Canis lupus familiaris: one gene and its partners. The protein of the gene in region 2 interacts with the protein of the main gene of each other region in a pairwise test. Links are inferred from orthologs where the notes say so. Each region holds a gene or a part of one and is shown on either strand. Other genes may lie near its edges. The genes, in order: ZBTB32, PITX1 and MGAT5B.

The links.
Region 1: the proteins of PITX1 (region 2) and ZBTB32 interact in a two-hybrid assay, tested with the Homo sapiens proteins (2 studies listed by BioGRID). The link is inferred for Canis lupus familiaris from reciprocal best matches to the Homo sapiens genes PITX1 and ZBTB32.
Region 3: the proteins of PITX1 (region 2) and MGAT5B interact in a two-hybrid assay, tested with the Homo sapiens proteins (2 studies listed by BioGRID). The link is inferred for Canis lupus familiaris from reciprocal best matches to the Homo sapiens genes PITX1 and MGAT5B.

The regions. Positions count from the first base shown.
Region 1 is NC_049222.1:117,766,111-117,770,362, forward strand, and holds the start of ZBTB32 (zinc finger and BTB domain-containing protein 32), read right to left. Parts: upstream 3,099-4,252; 5' UTR 2,999-3,098; intron 1-2,998. UniProt on the Homo sapiens protein: DNA-binding protein that binds to the to a 5'-TGTACAGTGT-3' core sequence. May function as a transcriptional transactivator and transcriptional repressor. Probably exerts its repressor effect by preventing GATA3 from binding to DNA.
Region 2 is NC_049232.1:23,086,742-23,090,993, forward strand, and holds the start of PITX1 (pituitary homeobox 1), read right to left. Parts: upstream 2,853-4,252; 5' UTR 2,761-2,852; coding exon 2,595-2,760; intron 359-2,594; coding exon 126-358; intron 1-125. UniProt on the Homo sapiens protein: Sequence-specific transcription factor that binds gene promoters and activates their transcription. May play a role in the development of anterior structures, and in particular, the brain and facies and in specifying the identity or structure of hindlimb.
Region 3 is NC_049230.1:4,783,486-4,786,721, reverse strand, and holds the end of MGAT5B (alpha-1,6-mannosylglycoprotein 6-beta-N-acetylglucosaminyltransferase B), read left to right. Parts: coding exon 1-208; intron 209-703; coding exon 704-902; 3' UTR 903-2,203; downstream 2,204-3,236. UniProt on the Homo sapiens protein: Glycosyltransferase that acts on alpha-linked mannose of N-glycans and O-mannosyl glycans.

The DNA of each region.
Region 1 (4,252 bases), on a different chromosome or scaffold from region 2:
ACAAAAGCTCCCAAGAATAGGAAACCCTATTTTTGCCTCCTACCTAGTGTCTACCTCACCTAAGGATATTGTTTTAGAGACTGCTTCTTTAGAGGTTCCTCCAGGGCCATCTATCCCTCAGCCCTTAGGCTGGTGACACTGTAGGCCCTTCTCTCTCCCTACATTCTTGACTACATAGTTCAAGCCAGATCAATGCAAGAGCATTCAGCATTCAGCAGTGACAGCAGAAGTACAAGCAAGTAGCACTTTGACTTGGAAGGGTAGGGACACTGTAACTCTTTTCTATTCCTGAGAAGTCCCCCATCACAGTCTCAAAAACCTTGTCCACCTTCTACTTCCCAGGCTGACTGTAGGAATCACCTGCAGTTGTCTCCTGGGGTGGACTCAGGAAACCATTGATTCTGAGGACACAAACCTGCATCTTGGGAAGGTAGAGTGGATAGGAAAGACTAGATAGGGCATACCTGGAAGAAAGTATGTGGGAAAAAGAGTTGACTTTTGCCCCTCATTCCTAATACTCATATTACTGAATAAAGTTTAATGTCTGGTATTTTTTATTCTCATAGGCTTGACCAGAGCTCCTTCATATGCCCCTGCAGGTACAACTCAGCTTGATATAAAAATGTCAACGCAGCAATACAATTATGGATTCTCCTTAAATATAATTAAAACTAAGCCACAGAATAGGCTGATTAGCGGGGTGATTATTTGTTTTATGACAAATGTTCTCCCTTTATCTCACTTATTTCAGATACTACTTCCAAAGTCAAGTTTAAAAAGATTCAATTTAGAAAAATTATATGAACTTTCCACTTTTTTCAGGAATGCATCTCTTTCTTCAAATCAAAGTGGTTAAAGTCCCCACAGCATTTTATAATGCAGATGAAGACCAATTATCCAAATCTTACCTAAACTTTCAAATGCCCACTCTTTCTAGTGAAGTACATCCAACACATACCGATACATACCACGGAGTAAATTAGTTTCTTTCTTCCCCTCAATCTGTATTTCATATAACTTAAGAACCAGTGTAATTATAGCCAGGTGAGCTGCAGCTAGGTCATAGAGACCCTATCATAGCATATCTTTTGTGGATGAAGTGGAAAAAGAACTAGACTAGAAGTAAAACAATTTAGGTTCCACTACATCCTCTCTGTGGGTGGCCTTTCTTTTCAGTCCTAATACGGGGGCTAACTCTTCTAAGATCCTCAATTTCCTCACAGGGACTGCTTTCAAGAGCAATACTGAATGCCAATATTGTGTTAAACCTGCTCTGACCCCCTCTGGCTGTGGTCCCCCCTTGGGCCAAGGATCCCAAGAGCATCGAGGAAGGGCCCACTGGGAACATGTGTCCCCCAGTTCTAGGCCATGCTCTGGGAACTTGGAACCCTGGACTTCCTCACCCAAATGGCCTCCTTCCAGGACAGCCCTCAACCCTGGGTCTATATTCAGGAGGGTGAACTGTGAAACCGATACACACACCCCAGGCCCTAGTTGTGTGTGAGGAACAGGTAGACTGAGCTCAGACATGCAGACTAATCTATGAGATGCCTTGAAATGTGCACCAACACCAGGTGTGGGAAGAAAAGGGGAAATTTTCATTTTTAGTCTTGCCTCAGCCCCATGAATAATACAGGAACCAGCTTTATTCCAATGGCTCTTAACATAGGTTAAGGGGATCACCATCCCTTTTAAAATTGTAAGCCACAGAATCAACTCTTTACATCAGAAAATTGTGGATACTCATACAAGGGATTCACAGGCTGGAGTCAGTCCTTGGACAGGTTAGATACTCCTTGTTTATCCTTGTGGCTGCTTTGCATGCCCCCCCCCCAAATACAACATGCATATAGTTTTTCTTGTGATTTCCAGGAGCTCCAAAACCCTTAAATCCACTCATAGACCACTCCCCCTTGCACCCCCCTACCCAAGGTTTAAGAATTCTGGGTGTACATGAAAACACTCTGAAAGCTTCAATACCACATAGAACTTGTCCAGCTGAGTGAAATTAGATATCAACACCCTGTCCCATAAGAATTAAAAAAAAAAATCTTCCGTAATGACAAGCTGGGTGATTTCCTAAGGAGCAGGAAATCTCACACACCTCTTCCTGTGCTCTAGGACAAGATCCATCTTCCCTATGCATCTGGCTCCATTCTTACAGCCTGGTATCTTCTGAGAATGACCAGGGTTTCAGAAAGAGCAGACCAAAAGGCCCTAATATGACCCAATCCTGGTTTTTTTTAGAGCCACACGGCAATAATATTTCATGGAGGGCAAACAACCTGAGATTCAGAAACTCCCTCCTCAAGAACCTCCAGAAGACCTTGGGCCTAACCTCCTGGCCAAGTTGTCTATCCTGGACCTGATAGTGGAAAATCTGCACCTCAACCTAGAGTCCAGCGACCCCCAAAACCTTGCAGCTGCATGTTCTTAGCACAGCCTGGGTGCAATGGCTGTTGACAACTGCCCATTGGACTTCCAATCTCGACAACTCTCTCAGCCCAGGCTGGATCCAAAGACCCCAGAAAATCTCCCAAGAGCACACTAGTTTCATCTTTTGGCCAGTAATGCCCCGCCCCCCCCCCCCCCCATAACCTCTGGAGAGTCACAGGCCTCCCCTTCCAGTCACCACATCCAGACTCAGGCCAGAGACCTCAGGCAACCTGTCACCGATCAGAGGCCATACCTCACCGCCAACGAAGCCACGCAGAGCTCCAAGGGCCTCCCACGGCCACACAATACACTTCCAAATCAAGTCAGCCTCAGGGACTGTGGACCAACCCAGGGCATGTTGGCCTCTGCCCCAGCCCGGGTCCAAAGGTGCCTGCCCAGGAGGCCCCACTGCCATCCTTGCCAGGAAAAGGGAGTCCCCGGGGACTAGAGTCCTCAACTCTCGCTTCTCAACCCTCACGACGACCGCTCCGGCCCTCCCACCCCAGCTTGGCTTGGGCCAGTCCCAGGCCTGAAGAAGCGTAAGAGAAACCATGGCACTCACCGACTCGGGCCCTGTGCCTCCTCCCACAGTCACATACACCGAGGGCGGCTCTAGCTCGAGTGGCCGTTGGGGAGCGGCGAGTGGGGAGCGGCGCGAGGCCCGGAGCTCGAGGCCCTGCGCGTGCACAGCTCACGGGTCTCGCCTGGTTTCCGCCGCGGACGCCGATTGGCTGCCGCCGGCCGCCTCCTGCTGAGCATGCCCAGCATCCTCGGAGGCACCTCGGACAGCTCCCCGTGCTCCGCCCCCCCGCCCCCGCCCCCGCCCCGCTCCCCCCGCCGATTGGCTGCGGAGCTCCCTCCCGCCCCCCTGGCTCTGCCGAGGGGCGGGGCCTTGAGTCCGATGGGGATGGGTCGGTGGGCTTGGGTTTCAGGTCTCTGAGGCGGAGGTCTCACCCTCCAGCCTGTCCCCTCCCCTGCTGAGCGGCTGCGGAGTTTGCCCCTTCCCACCCTCTCTCTGGAAAGACTTGGCCCGGAACCTCCTTGGCCTCAATAGTCTTGGAAGCTGCCTCCGCAAGGGCTCAGGATTCAACGGCCTTCTTGCTTCTGTCTTGGCACCCTGACGAGCTCTGTTACACACCCTCTCACCTCTCTCTCAACCCCTGACAGTCTATGCAGTGTGTGTCTGTGATTGGTCGGGAGGCCCTCGAGAGTCGGCCAGGCTTCGGGGTGCCTGTGGGCAGCTCCCCTTTCCCGCCTCTTGTCCTGCCCACCACTGATTGGTTGCAGAACGCACCCCGCCTCACCTGGAAGTATGCGGGGACGAGGGAGGCGCAAGAGGGGGCAGTGCCTTGACCCGCGATTGGTCTAGATGCTCGCGCTTCAAATGCTCATTGCCTGTCAGCTGAGCCAGGGATAACTGCGTACTTCACGTACTAGCCACCCCCCCCCCCGCCACACACACACACACACACACACACACACACACACACACACACACGTGGAGAGGATGGCCCATTGCTCCGCCCCGCCATGAACCGGCCAGGGCTAAGAGCTCAGCCAGCTGGCTTCCCATTCATGCCGGGTTTGGTGCGGACAGGCGGCGAGCTCGCGGCGCGCGGGGCAGGGAGCAGCCCCCGAGCCGGGCTGCGGCGGCGCTGCTGATTGGCTGGCCGCTCTCTCTTCCAAGGGCTTTGGGTTCGCGCTCGGACACAACCAATGAGGAGCGAGGGCGCTTTAAGGAGGCGGGCGTTGCTCGACCGCTTCCACTTCTGATTGGCCCAGGGGCTTGCTTGATTGATCCGAAGGCCGGGAGGCG
Region 2 (4,252 bases):
CTCCGGTGGAGAGTGGTGGGACGGAGACAAAGTCTGAGCGCCGGTCTAAAGCTTTTGGAGGGCTGCGGCAGAGCCGGCCAGGAGCGGTCCGCACGGGTCCCCTTGGGCGCGCACGCTGGGCTCACCCTCACGCGCGGCTCCGTGAGGTTGGTCCACACAGCGATCTCCTCCCGCATGCTCATGTCGGGGTAGCGGTTCCTCTGGAACGTGGCCTCCAGCTCTTGCAACTGCTGGCTTGTGAAGTGCGTGCGTTGCCGCCGTTGCTTCTTTTTCTTGGCGGGGTCCTCCGCGCCACCGCAGCCTGCGCCTCCCGCACCGCTGTCCTCCGGCCCCTTGACTTCCCCGCCGCGCTCCTTCTCTGAATCGGGCAGGACAGGCCCTAGTCACCTTGGGTTTATGCCCTTTCGCACCCCGTCCCGGCTCCACCGAAGCGCCAGCCATCAGCGCTGGCGGCCCTTCCTCCCGCCAGGAACCCTAGTTTTGTTCCCGCTGGAAAGAGCCTGTCGGGTGCCTGATCCTCACTAGTCACCTTTGGTCGGACGGCCCCGAAGAGCCAGGGAACCCGAGGCTCCGGCCTAGGTTCCCCACTGGGCAGGGCCTGCCCTTGCAGCTCGGCTCAGGCTCAAGCCCTACTGCCTATGTCGCCCGCAAATGTATGAAATTTTGAGGGCTTTTAGGCATTTAAATCTGGGGGTGTCTCTGCTCTTCTGAACTGATATCAAATCTGGCTAGCCTGAAGCCAGTGGGTCGGTGGAGCAGGAGCCAGGCGGTAACCTGCAGCCCCTCTACTTTCTTCTCCCCAGGGCTGTGTGGGAGCCACATTGGGCAGGCACAACACAGCTGTGTTCTCAGCCTTAGCTCCAGGCCTCAAGTCCAGAGGCCCAGAAAAGCCCTCAGGCGGCAGCCCAGACCCACACACTCTGTCTAGGTGACCTGGGGCTCTAGCCTCTCGCTCTCTCAGGGTACACAAAACACATTCAGTCATAGACACATTGAAACAAACAAACAAAAAAATTAAAAACAAAATACAGAAGCCCAGATAAACTCAATTCTATCCCAACACCATGGAAAGGCTCACAAACTATTAAAAATAGGCAGGTAGGAACACAGAGCAAATGCAAATTAAGAAGCAAGAAACCTCCGTGCAAACAGACCCCTAACTAAATACAGTGCTGTACGCGTATAAACTCCAGGCAGACGCGGGCATTTATTTCTCCGGGATAAAAAAAAAAACAACTTAATGTACTGTTGTAGATAGATTTTTTTTTAGCCCCTTCCTAATAATGCCCTTCTAGGGATAGTCTTTAAGTCGCAGGGAAATACAACACTATAGTTAGATAAATTACCAAACTAACACTGCTGCAAATGGATTTTGAAAAAAAAAATCCCGGAGAAACGCGCCATTTTGGATTGACTTTTAAAAATCTCCAAGAATAATGCTGCATGTGGATGTTTTAAATTCCAGAGAAATATGCCTCGCGTAGTGATTCTTTCTATATCGAAAAACACAGTTAAAAAATTTAATATATCCTCACGGAGTTGGTTTTAAAAAGCAATCGCTCGCTGTATATTTCTCCAGATTTTAAAAAGTAAAAACCAACCAAAGGCCACGCTTCAAACTTTTGAAAACAAAAGTACAGTCCAGCGTGGATTGCTTTTCTTAGCCAAGCAAACAGAACCTCTCAGAGAAAGTCACTTAGAGATGCAAAACAGAAACAAATAGAGATTAAAAACGCGTAGAGAAACACTCAGCGGTGGATTAAGAAAAAAGCACAGCGGAGGCGCCCACGACCCGGGGAACAGGGCGCCCGGCGGGACGGGGAGCGCGGGATCCGAGCGGGAGACCCGGGGGCGCGAGCGGCCGAGGATCCGCCGCGCCACCGCCCGCACCGCCCACCCGCCGGCCCCGCTCGCGGCCAGCTTGCGGGGGAGCAGCCTGAGTTCGGGGGGCAAAACGGCGGCGCGGAGGGAGACGCGCCCCAGCCGAGCCGGGCCCTGGCCGGGCGGCCTGGCGGCTCCCGGGTCCCTCCACGAGGGGGGCCTGCCCGCCAGCTGAGCCGCACCTCTTGGCCCGCTCGCCCTCGCTGCCCTCTTTTTTTTTACTTGAGGTGGTCCCCCCTTCCCCGCAGTCTGTTTCTCTGACTTTTCCCGCCACCCCTTCTCTTGGATTTCTCCCTCTCCATCCGTGCCCACCGCCTGTCGGGGTGTGTGACCCCGTCTCCCTGCGCAGCGTCTCTCGCCCGCCGCCCCGTTCCTCTCTCCACCTACTGTCCTGCGGTCTGAGCGGCCCCCTGGGCACTCGTTGCGCAAACCGAATTCTTTTTCTTCCGGCTCCGTCTGCTCCCGATCAAGAGGGGCTGTCGGGCCGACCCTCCCGTGGTCGGTGCCTGCATCTGCCGGGGTCTGGGCGCGTGGGCACCGGCTGGGAGCAGAGCACGGAATTCCGTCTCATCAAGCGCGCAGATTTCCGCGCTCCCGGTCCGACGGAGGCCGGGAGAAGAGGTCCCGGAGCTCGCGGGGCTCGGGCAACCTGAGCGTGCGGCGCGGGCGCCAGGCCCCGCTCCCCGCCCCGCGCCGGGCCGAGCCGCGCTTACCTGGCAGCTCCGTGTCGGACGACTCGCTGGCGGAGTTCTCGAGCGGCTCGCGGGGGTCGGCGGCGCGGGCCAGGTGGAAGGCCGGCCCCATGTCGTGCGGCGGCGGCGGCGGCCGGAGCCCCTCCGGCAGCCGCTCCAGGCTCATGCCCCCCTTGAAGGCGTCCATGGAGGCGGGGACCGCGGCGGGCGCTCCCGGGGCCGGGGCCGGGGCCGGGGCCGGGGCCGGGGCCGGGGCCGGGCGCGCCCGGCCGCCCTGGCTGCGACCTGCGGGGACAAGAGCACAGCGCCTAAGCGGCTGCCCCCCAGGGCTGCCCGGGCCCGCAGCGACGCCGCGCCCGCCCCATGGACCGCCCGGGGCTGCGGGGCCGGGCGGGCGGCGGCGGCAGCGGTTTCTCGCGACCGGATCCCCGGCTTCGCGCTCCGCGCTGCGCTCCCGCCGCTCGGGCCTCTGCCGCCCGCCCGGCCCCGGCTCCGGCTCCCGATCCGGGGCCGGTTTCTAAGGCTCCGTACGGCGCCGGCAGAGGCTGTCTTAAAGCGACAGCGCGCACCGCCAGGTTCCAGCAGTCCCTGCGCCAGGGGTGGTGGGTGGGGTGGGCCCGGGTGGGAGGGGGCTGGGGAGGGGGGAGGGAGGGAGGGAAGGAGGGAGGGAGGGAGGGAGGGAGCCGGCGAGCGAGGGAGCGCGGGCGGAATCCGGCCCCGAGCCGCCCGCCCTCCCCCGGCCGTGCCCTCCCCCTCCCCCTCCCGTCCCCTCCCGTCCCCCTCCCCCGCCGCAGCCACCTTCCCGCCGCCTCCCGCCCCCTCCCCCCACCCCCCGCGGCCTCGCCGCGCCGCGCCGCTCCCTCCTTCCCCGTTGACACACCGACTTCTCCCTCGGCCGCACAAAAGAAACGCATCTGGTCTCCAAGTCCCGCGCGGCTCGTGCCCACCTCCAGCCCCAGATGACTTGTTTTGCGCAGAATCAACTCCTGTCTGGGCCGCCTCGAAGTCCTCAGCCCCCGGCGAGAACAGCCCAGGACGAGAGAATGTTCCCGGGGCAGGATCGCACGGAGCGGGCGCCTCCGAGCCAGCGCCAGGGCGGGGGCAGAGCCCGGGGCCCGTTCCGGCAGCTCCCGGCGGCGTCCCCGTCGGGGGGCCGCTGGCCCCTCCTTCCTCGGCCTCTTCTCCCGGGACCTGAGCCCGGCTGAGTGACAGCAGCCTGCGTTCTAATGGGCCCCCGGATGCTGCCTCCTAATTAGCTTGGACCCTGTCGTCCAAGGCTGCTTCTCTGGCCTCCCCCTCTGCACCGCAGTCAATTTTCCGGGATTGGGATTGAACTGATGGCTTCTAATCAGACGAAACGTTTCTGTTGGCTCCAGGCCTCTGGCGAGTGCAGCAGGAGACCCCGAGAGCCCCGCCAGGCCCCACAGCCTCTTCTGCAGGGCTCTCTTCCCTTGTTTTGCACCAGTCCAGCCGAATCAGCCAGGCCCCGGCCTTGGCAGCCAGGGGGTTGGCTTCTGCCCCCTTCAGGGCAGGTTTGTAGCGATCTGGGGCCTCCTCTGGGCTTTCCAGAGCTGCAGGCACCTGGCCTCGCGAGCAGGCCAGGTGCCTGCAGTTTCCCAGCCCGGAGTCCGCAGTCCAGGAAGCCTACCGCCTTTGAGCTTCTCTCTCTCACACAGCAG
Region 3 (3,236 bases), on a different chromosome or scaffold from region 2:
AGAGCCCCTTCGTCCTGGCCCCCAATGCCACCCACCTGGAGTGGGCCCAGAATGCCAGCGTGGCCCCCGGGGCCTGGCCCCCAGCACACTCCCTCCGGGCCTGGCTGGCCACCGCCGGGAGGGCCTGCACCGACGCCTGCCTGGACCATGGGCTGATTTGCGAGCCGTCCTTCTTCCCCTTCCTCAACAGCCAGGACGCCTTCCAGAAGTAAGTGAGCCCCCCGCCCGCCCGCCCACCTCCTGGGCTGACCCAGCCTTGCTCCCCTGCAGCTCCTCGCCCCGTAACTGCCCCGTCACCGCCCTGCCAACGGGTGGAGGGGGGCTGATGCTCTCCTGCGAGTCAGGAAGAACCCAGTAGGGACCACGGACAGGTGTCCATGTCACGGGTGCCCCCCCACCCCCCCACCCCGCACCGTGGTGAAGCTTCGGCCCCAAACCACCAGCACAGGAGCCGCTGCCAGTCCCTCCCCGCCCCCCCCCCCCCCCCCCCCCCAGCCTCTGTCGAGCCTGTCTGGGCATCTCCTAGGTCCAGGCCAGGAAAGCGGCCCAGGGTTCCTCCCAGCCCAGCCACCCCCCGTCCCCCTCTCCCCCAGCGGGGATGCGGCCCGGGGTTTGTCCTGCTGTCCCCTAGAATCATCTTCCCTGGTTGGGGCCGGGCGGGGCCGGGCTGGGGCCGTGACCGCCGCCCGCGGTGCCCGTCCAGGCTGCGGGTGCCCTGTGACAGCACGGAGTCGGAGATGAACCACCTGTACCCGGCCTTCGCCCAGCCCGGCCGCGAGTGCTTCCTGCAGAAGGAGCCCCTGCTCTTCAGCTGCGCGGGCTCCAGCACCAAGTACCACCGGCTCTGTCCCTGCCGAGACTTCCGCAAGGGCCAAGTGGCCCTGTGCCAGGACTGTCTGTGAGGGCACCCACCCGTCCGGCCCTCCCTGCCGCGGAGAAAGCACCAGCAGATTCTGACCTCCAGCGCCCTGCCCTCCCCTCGACTCCTCCCACGCTGGAGCTTCCTTCCTTGGCCAGGAAGCGGGCAGAGCAGATACTCGCACAGGGCACGGGCCCAGGGCTACGGGCCTTCGCCCACCCGGCCGGGCTCCTCGACCTCCTCCCGGGGCTCGTGGCAGCGTCGTGGCCAAGCGGCTGTGGGACCCGTCAGAGGGCCGCCCCGGCAGGAGCAGGTGCTCGGAGGCCCCTTGCTTCCGTGCCAGCCGAGTTCTGGACCAGACTGACGCCCTGGCCCTTCGTAGGCCCAGGATGGGGCTCCAGAATGTACGAGGAGGGAGCAGGGGCAGTGCCCGCCCGCCCCCGCCCCCACCAAGGGTCTGGGGAGAGGGCAGTGACGTGTGAGGGGTCAGCCTCATCCCTCTATGGTTGTTTGGGGCGTGGACCAAAAGGACCAGGGAGTGGGGGAAGGCCAGGCGGGGTACCCTGTTCCTGCCTCCTCTCAGCCCCCCCCCGCCTTTGCAAAATCCCCCTCCGTCCTATATTGGGGAGCACAGCGAGAGTGTGGGGACCACCTAGCCCCCTGGGTTGAACTCTTTCTGTCTCCTGCTTGCTCCAGCTCTCTCCACTTTGGGCTTCTCCCGAAACTCATCCTGGCATGACTGCAATTCCAGGCCGTGGATTTGTCCCCAGAGCCTCTGTCCCCACCCCAGCAGGCTTGGGAACCCGCACACCCCCTCCCCTCCAGCGTCTCTTGTAGGCAAAGGCTTGGGATGGAGCTTCAGCCTCGTGGCATGCCCAGCCCAGCTCCTGGCTTCCCAGGCCTGCTTGCCCCCAGGTAGTCCCCCCTCCGATGCTGCCCGTCCTTTGCCTCAAGCTTCCTCCAGCCTCAAACCACCTCTGGACCCACCCATCATCTCTGTGTGGCATGCCTGCCCCTGCCCCATGATGTTCCCTTCCCCTCCTCCCCCTGCCCGGAGCCCTGCCTGGTTAAGCCGGTGGGGCCTTCAGAGACACTGCCACCCCACCCCCGTTTTATAATCCCACCTCCCGCCCCCACCCAGGCCTGCCCCTCCACCCTGCCGGGAGCCCTGAGAGCTGGGAGAGGGGGGGAGCCCATCCAAGACCGCCCCCCTGTGGCCACAGGAGCTCCATGGCCACCAGGGACCTGACCTGTCGGGGGCAAGCAATAGAGACACTCTTTTCTCTCTCTCTCTTTTTTTAAAGATTTATTTCTTGAAATAATAAATATTTTATTGGGATGTGAGGTGCAGAGGAGGAGCGTGCTGTTTCTCGTCTTTTCCTGGGATGCCCAGGGCGAGGGCCTGGCTATGTTGGGGCCCCAGGCCCCTGCTGCCCCTTGTCACTTGCTGCACACAGGGTGCTTGGGGCCCCAGAGCTGGCGCTCTCTGGGTCAGGCTGCGCCGCACTGAGACTCTGCACCCGGCTCTGTTCACCTCGGCCTGGCCTCTGGGAGGTCAGAGAGTAAACATGTATTTTGATAAGAGCCTGAGGCAGATCATGAGAAATACTAGCTAACGCTTACTGGGTCTTTGCCGTCCTTCAGACACGGGGCAGAGTGTTGGCCACACAATTTGTCATTTTTTGTTGTTCAGCTGTCTCATCAGGTAGGTACTGTTATATTCCCATTATTATTTTTTAAAATATTTTATTTATATATTTATGAGAGACACCCAGAGAGAGAGGCAGAGACACAGGCAGAGGGAGGAACACGCTCCATGCAAGGAGCCCGATGTGGGACTCGATCCCAGGACCCCAGGATCATGCCCTGAGCCGAAGGCAGAAGCCACCCAGGTGTCGCTTACTGTTGGGTTTTAAGAGTTCTTTGTGTAGGAGCCTACTTCTGGATCCTGGCAGGCTTTGAACTCAGGTGGGGTGGAGGCGGAGGGTGTGGGGGCACCGGCTGGTAGGAAGAGAAGAAGCGGACCCCAGGAAGGCTGTGGGTTCTCAGCCCTCCCCCACTGGACGGCGCCGGGCCCCCCCCTTCAGCGAGCTGCCGCCCACCCACCACCGAACATCAGAGGCAATACAGGCCCAGGCCCACCTCCCCCCACCCTGCAAGGTGACGTCATCCTGCCCGCTTACAGGTGGTGGAACTGGTGTGATGAAGCCCCTCACAGCCTTGGGAATCACCCAGGGAGGTGGGCCATCCCGCATCCAGGCCGCCCCCAGACCCATGAAACCATCTCCGCGCAGGGGCTGGCCTCCGCTGTTTAAAGAGCTCCCCTCTGGGTGCCTCTGCTGAGCATCCGACGCGAACCACTGGGCTGCCAACAAGA